2 linked regions of the Nothobranchius furzeri genome follow. The protein of the gene in region 1 interacts with the protein of each later gene in a pairwise test. Links are inferred from orthologs where the notes say so. Each region holds a gene or a part of one and is shown in the gene's direction. Other genes may lie near its edges.

Region 1 (3,513 bases):
CGTGCTCTCTTTAACCCCAGAAGATGAAGTGGAGCTATCAGAGAGAGAGGTCCCGTGCCGGAAGAAAGGCAGACCCAAGAAGAAAGACACAAAGAAGAAAGAGAAAGAGGGGAAGCCGGTCAAAGCAAAAAAACGGAAGAAGATTGTAAGTTTAATGGGTTTTCTGTCCGCATCATTTTCCGTCTGATGACTGAGGTCCCTGTCTGAACCTGTTGTGTCAGTCCACTGTGCAGGACAGCGATGTAGAGCGAAACTCGGACAGAGACTATGGCGGGAACTCGGACAGTGCAGCCAGCGACTATGGCTCTGGAGAGAAGAAGAAAAAGAAGAAACACAAAGAAAGGAAAGAGAAGAAAACCAAGAGGAAGAAAAAAGACAACAGAGACAGAGATAGCAGTCAGGAGGAAACAGCAAAGGTAAGAATTAAGAGTTTGGTTGTCATATAAGTTCTTGGAAAAGCCCGACCTGGTATCTTCTCAGCAGCCTGTGGAGCAGAAGACCTCTGCCCAGCTGGCGAAGGAGTGGGGACTGGAGGACGTTGATCATACCTTCACGGAGGAGGACTACAGGGAACTCACAAACTACAAAGCCTTCAGCCAGTTTATGAGGTACTTTGTTTTTAATATGATATTAAAGTTTGCAAACATCGAGGGTGCTTTGCCACTTCAGGAGGTGTTTAGTAGAGCTTTTCCAGCTTGGAAACCTTGCCATTTTCTTGAGTTTGACCTTCTGCTGGTCCCAGGCCGATGATAGCCAAGAAGAACCCTAAGATCCCCATGTCAAAGATGATGACCATCCTAGGGGCCAAGTGGAGGGAGTTCAGCTCCAACAACCCCTTCAAAGGCAACGCCGCTGCTGTAGCAGCGGCTGCCGCCGCCGCCGCCATCGCTGTTGCCGAGCAGGTTTCTGCAGCGACTGCCTCCCCCGAGCCGCCTCCTCAACCGCCGCCGATCAGAAAGGCCAAGACGAAAGAGGGCAAAGGTCAGTGGTGAGCTTTGGCTCTGTCTGTGTACTGTTTGCCTTTGATCCTGTTTAGATAATCGTCAGAAACAGAGGTGGCAGAGAACCTTCTTCTCTTTCCAGGTCCAGGATACAAGAAACGCAGTAAAAGTCCTCGAGTAGCAGACAAGAAAAAAGCTGTGGCCAAGGCCAAGAAGATGGCGCCCATTCGTATTAAACTATTAGCCATTGGAGCCAAGAGGAAGAAGAGTTGCTCTGTGAGTCCAACCTTCACACGGTGCAGGAAACTCTTCATCTCGGGCGATCAGTAACCAGTGTGTTATTAGTGAATTTGTGTTTGTTGTGATTTGTGCTTCAGAGCGACGACATGGATGAGGAGGAGTCTGAGCAGGAGGACTCCAGCGTTCACAGCTCCTCGGTTCGCTCGGACAGCTCTGGACGGGCGAAGAAGAACAAGAGAGGACGGCCCGCCAAGAAGAAGAAAAAGAGTAAGACAGTTCTGCTTGTGCATTATATTTTACTGGTATAACTGGATATATTGGCACCGAAATGTGAAATGGGAAATGACCAGTATCAGCTTTTGTTCTTTTAATGTCACAACTTCTCCACACTAACACATTTATGCATCCAAGTCTTCAGCTACTTCTTCTCTCACTCAAAGTCAAAATCTGACAGATCTGAGGTTTAGATTTTGAGTTGTTTTTGTTTGTTTGGCACAAAAGGCCCAACCTAAAATGAAGTAGTTGGCATATTTTGCACTGTTACATGCATGATATGCGATAGGCGATGTTACGTAATATGATATTAGTTTGGAGAAATAAAGTTTCATTCTGACTTGACTGACAGGCAAACGGTTAGTTTGAGTAGAGACAAACCCACCCTGGTTCACATTTAAAGTGATTCTTTGAAGCTTTTTCATATTTTCATATGCTTTTCTTGAGCCAGTGTGTGCTAAAATGACCCGTTACGGGGTTATTGAAATGTCACAAAGACCCCCACCGCCCTCTGTGGCCAGAATAGCGTAGAAGCGGAACAGTTTACCCGCGAAAATCGTAGCGAAGCGGCTTCTCTGCTGCGCTCCTCGCTCGACTCGCAGGAACACACGATCCCTCGAGACTTCAAAGGTTACGGTCTGTTTATGCAATCCGCCGTTGAACCAAAATGAAGGAAATCCCGTTGTTATTGCTGTTTGATGTCATATAAGATGTTGTCCCTCTCCAGTGCCAGGATTAAAGCCATGAAAAACACACCGCTGCACTTCAGGAACGATGCTGGGAGTAAATACGTCGTTGGGTCACACGTAAGCCTCATATATATGAATCCCATTGCTGCAGTACTTTTATTTTGAAAATTACTGGGGATTTCACACTGAAACTGTGTGTGATTTCCTGTCTTGCTCTATGTTAACTGTGGAAATTGACGCATCCCAAAAGCGGCTTGTGGAAAATATAGAGCCCGGTCCAATCTTTCCGTGTTTGTTTTGAATCTCGTACAGCGCTTTGATTTGCACTTGCTGTATGAAAAGTGCTTCATAAATAAAGTTTGATTTGATTTGATCTTTAGTGGCGCAGGGTGCCATTTCTGGGACACATCTGAAAATTGCAGCGTCGTGACTGGTTTGTGACACTCCATAGACTTTAATGGATTCTATTTGAAGCAGTGCCGTTCCGCGCCGCTGATGCTTCCAGTGTGCAGCAGGGGTGAAGCCTGATTTATACTTCTCCGTGTGTCAGCACGAAGAAAAGCAATGCCATTATCCGTTGTGGCAACGGCTCTCCAACAGGCTCGCAAGGATGAACAGAGTAGAGCCCTCTTTTCTAACTATCTGTTGAAAGCGACGGAGACCGCAAGCCTGTGATTGGTCAGGACGCCACTTCCTTTAACTTCTCCAACAGCACCGCCATACCTCCTCAAAAACATAAAACGAGAACCAAACATATTAGCTTCAGAGACTGAAGAAAGTCTTGTGCAAAAAGTCCATCGATATAAACATTACACCCGTGACTGAAGGAGTACAAAGAAAGGCTGCAAGCTTTTTATTTGTGTCAGGAAATTATAGGAAAGGTGAGTTTAGAGGTGGTGACTTGATGATGATGATGAGGTGAAGGACAAATTAGTCCACGTTAAACCGTCTCTGAAACATAAACAGAGACGTGACCGCATTGGTGGCAGGAAGCAACAGAAAAGCGCTACGCCCTCTGCTGCACTGGTGGAGAATTGCTTTACAACTAACTAACTTGTTTTTATTTGACTATTTTTTCTGTCCTGTCTGTTTATTATCTTCCTGCATCTCCTCTCAATCCTAAAGAAAAACTGCTACCTGGGTTCATATATATTCACCTCATGAGTTACCTTTGTACTGCAGTTCTAAAAGATCCACCGACCGCAAAAACAGCGGAGTGCGCACTGACCGCACCGGTGAGATGAAATCACCGGAGGACAAAACATGTGATGCACTCCCGCTCCACAGCAGCGAAACGCATCAGGCACAAATAAATGACAGAAAACATAAAAGGAAATGAGCCGACATGAACAATCGCGTGTTAAATTTGT
Region 2 (4,099 bases), on another chromosome or scaffold:
ATTGGTGGACTGTTTCCCAACGTCATGAGAGACTCGTGGCAATGGAGGGCCGTCCCGTCTGCTGGAGTCTGCTGAGTCAGCTCCTCATATGAACATTCTTACTAAAACATGAAATTGATCTCTGCTGGGTTTTTATCTTGGATGTGTTTTTCTGTCACTCAGTGTGGGGTTGTGTTTTTTTGAATGAACTTGTTATTAAAGTTGTGTAATAATCAAGTTGTTGAAGGTTAGAGGGGCAGAACTAATTATTGATTAGAATTGTATTTCTCCTCAGCGTTGCTCTCTGAGCCGCCTGATGGACCCGAAGAACTAAAGCAGAGTGTAAATTAAATTTTAATACGCTTTGCCAGATGTTTCTCTTTTTGCTTTCTTGCAGGCCCTATGATTTTAGTTTTTCTTTGTTAGATGTTCGGCATGCACTGGAATAGGTAGTCTTGTGTCGGTGTGTACTACCGAGATCAAACTTCTTCAGCCCTACAACTGAAAATGAAATGTTAGCCCCCTTTATTGATTTATTTTTTTGTAAGAGTGGTTTTGATTTTGTTTTTAGAGTGTGTGGATGTCCTATGTGTAATTTTGTCTTCAGTAAGCATTATTGTTTTATTTACTTTAATTGGGACATCATATTGAATTACTCAGGATAAAATTATACGCGACAAAACAATTGAGACGAGCAACTCCTTTCCTCTTTCGGTGGTCTTCAGTGTCAGTTCACAGCTTCTACAGGAACCATAATCCAATATGCACACGTATGAATGATCACCATATGGTTTTACTTTTCTGTCTGTTTTTTTTTTCTCAAATATTTAAAAATGAAAAATAAAGATTAATTTGAAAGAAAAATGCATACTGTTTTTAAAGCTTGGAGTCATTTAAATGATTTTTTAAAAGTTGTTCTGCAGGTGAAGATGGAAGATTTTTGTTTAGTTTTAGTCTAAATGTAGTCATTTTACAGATATGTTTGAGAATAAATGTCCTTGTTTGTGGAATGTCTGATCAGGTTAAATCCCATTTTTAAAAGGCACCGAACCGTTTTGTTCTGTGGGATTTTTCAGTTTTTATTATCAGACTTTTTATTCTAATATATTCAGTTTCATTGTGTAATTTGGATTTAAATTTTTACTCAATTTCTAACAGCTGTACGGTCTAATCTAATCTCTACCACAAGTCTAAACTGGTCTGAACGAAGGTGGAGCGCACGTTGAGGTATTTTAATTCCTGAAGTTCTTGAATGCAGCATGTGTCGGCGCACAGTGATGTCGTCATTCAAACGAAGCACCCTAAACCTGGCTGGAAGAAATACGCAACAGATAAAACAAGAACAGTTTGTAAAACAAAGAAAAAAAAAATAAACAGTTACAGTCATGTCTGTGAACTACGCTGCAGGACTATCGCCTTACGCGGATAAGGGTGTTTGCGGTCTACCTGAGGTAACATTTAGGTGTTGTATCGCTCCGAGAGCTTTTCAAAGAGCTAGTTAAATTAGCAACGTAGCGTCGCTTTCATTGAGAATGCATTTTTGTTTGGTTCGTTTAAGAGTAATAATATAAAGACGGTGTTGTAGAGCAGACCGTCTGTGCTGTGTTAGCCTCTTTGTTATTTAACATAAACACTATGAAGCACGGTGGAGGATAGATGATGGTGTGTTCTTTTGTTGTTGCCACACATCTGGCACGGTTGTATACAATAGTCGCCCCCTTGCTAATTGTTTAATTGTGTGTTTTTGATCTGTGCCAGAGTTTTGATAATCCGGAGGAGCTAAAAGCAAAAGTGGAAGCCCTCGCTCAGCTGATTAAAGAATCTCAGTACTTGGTTGTCCACTCTGGAGCTGGAATTAGCACCTCAGCAGGCATCCCTGACTTCAGGTGAGAGACAATATGTTTGTTCCTGCTAATGATTAAAAGCATTCTAGCGGATTTTTCCATTTGATGTGATCACACACACCTGAATTCGGATCTTCCACTCATCAAAGTGGTACAGCTGGTCCTCATTTGGTAGATTTCTTAGCTTTTATTTTGTCTTTATGACTGTAAAAGAGTAAATCTTGGTTCTCATATGTGCAAACTAATTTTGAACAACTTAATCAGCTTATGATGGAAGATATGTATTGTTTATGTTTATGTATTTAGCAGACGCTTTTGTCCAAAGCGACTTACAAGTGATAATCGGCATGTTGCCCCTGAGGCTAACAACAACAATAACAACAACTTGACATCAATAATTGTATTGTATTGTGTTATTAAAGGTGTGGAACACTGGAAACCATTTTTTAAAATCGTATTTCTGATTACAATGGGTCACTCAGAGTTTTTCATGCAGGCTGAACATGAAAATAGTCTCCTACACCTATCTCCTGCATTGGCATCTGATAGAAAATAGATGGTGAAATGCTAGGTTTTTAAAAGCCTGACAGATCTACATTACACTGACTCTTAACATCCATGGACTCACCCACCATGGCTCACGATTTGGAAGGCCTAAGCCAAATTTATACTTTTCCATCTGCGTCAGTACGGAAACACGCAACACCATTATCCATTGTTGAGAGGGCTTTCCAACAGGCAGCCAAGGACGGACAGAGTCGAGCCCACTTTTCTAAACACAGCAGTAGCTCAGGAGGTAGAGCGTGTTGTCCAGTAATTGGAAGTTTGCAGGTTCAAGCCCCGCTCAGTTTGTCACTGTCATTGTGTCCTTGGGCAAGACACTTAACCTACCTTGCCTGCTTGTGGTGGTCAGAGGGATCGGTGACGCCAGTGCTCCACAGCCCCGCTTCTGTCAGTGCACCCCAGGGCATCTGTGGCTACATCGTAGCTCATCCCCACCAGTTTGTGAATGACTGATTGTGTTGTGAAATGCCTTGGGGGGGGGGGGGGGGGGGGGGGGGGGTTGTATGACCCTAAGAAGGCGCTATACAAATACAGGCCATTTACCATTTAAACATCTGTTGAACAAGACAAGAAACTACAAGCTTACCATACCATAGTTTGTTTATATAGCACATTTAAAACGCAGCATGGGAGCTGCCCAAAGTGCTGCACAGGCTGGACCAAATCACGACCCATCAAAGCAGCAACAACAGAGGATAAAAATGCCGATCAATAAAAGCAAATAAAACATGAGGAATACTAAGAACACATCAAAACAATAATACAATAAAACAAAACGACTCACGGCGTAAAAGCCAAATCGTAGAAGTGGGTGTTTAAACGAGATTTAAAAACCGCCAATGATGGAGCCTGTCGAACTGTAATAGGTAGAGTTTCACAGCTTTGGGGCAGCATGTACAAATGCTCGTTCACCCCATGATTTGTAACGCATCGGGGGAGTGCAAAGCAGCAGGAGGCCAGCCGACCTCAACGTGCGCGTGGGTACATAGGGAGTGAGCAGGTCAGAGAGATTAGGAGGTGACAGGTCGTTCAATTCAAGTTTATTTATATAGCGCCAAATCACGACAAGAGTCTTCTCAAGGCACTTCACATAATAAACATTCCAATTCAGGTCAGTTCATTAAGCCAATCAGAAATAATGTTTCCTATATAAGGAACCCAGCAAATTGCATCAAGTCACTGACTAGTGACTTTACAGCAATCCTCATAATAAGCAAGCATAAAGCGACAGTGGAGAGGAAAACTCCCTTTTAACAGGAAGAAACCTCCAGAGAATCCTGGCTCAGTATAACACACACACACACACACACACACACACACACACACACACACACACACACACACACACACACACAGACAGACAGACAGTAATGTGTCTATAGTTACATTGTGATTTCTTAGTAAATATTCTATTTGGTGAGAGATAAACTTTATTGTATTTATCCTAGTGGATCTATAATTAAACGGATAAACTAGCAGTAGCACATCCAACGTCAAGGAAAGCAAAACGTTATTATCAGGAGAGGGAGAATGTTTGAGTGGTTAGCAGCATTGTGCTAGACGATGGCCCCCTCCATGAGGCCACCACAGCTCAGCAGAACATCATTGTAGCTTCTTCTTCGTTGAGTGCTTTAAAGACAAAAATCAATACCTTAAACTGTACTCGGAAAATGACAGGGTGCCAGTGAAGATGTGTCAGGACTGGGGTAATA

What was found. The genes of interacting proteins can lie anywhere in the genome.
Region 2: the proteins of chd3 (region 1) and sirt6 interact in a two-hybrid assay, tested with the Homo sapiens proteins (2 studies listed by BioGRID and IntAct). The link is inferred for Nothobranchius furzeri from reciprocal best matches to the Homo sapiens genes CHD3 and SIRT6.

What each region holds. Positions count from the first base shown.
Region 1 is NC_091742.1:58,727,771-58,731,283, reverse strand, and holds part of chd3 (chromodomain-helicase-DNA-binding protein 3), read left to right. Parts: intron 1-20; coding exon 21-145; intron 146-221; coding exon 222-416; intron 417-480; coding exon 481-608; intron 609-742; coding exon 743-981; intron 982-1,083; coding exon 1,084-1,217; intron 1,218-1,318; coding exon 1,319-1,448; intron 1,449-3,513.
Region 2 is NC_091751.1:57,913,017-57,917,115, forward strand, and holds the start of sirt6 (NAD-dependent protein deacylase sirtuin-6), read left to right. Parts: upstream 1-1,290; 5' UTR 1,291-1,364; coding exon 1,365-1,430; intron 1,431-1,737; coding exon 1,738-1,865; intron 1,866-4,099. UniProt on the Homo sapiens protein: NAD-dependent protein deacetylase, deacylase and mono-ADP-ribosyltransferase that plays an essential role in DNA damage repair, telomere maintenance, metabolic homeostasis, inflammation, tumorigenesis and aging.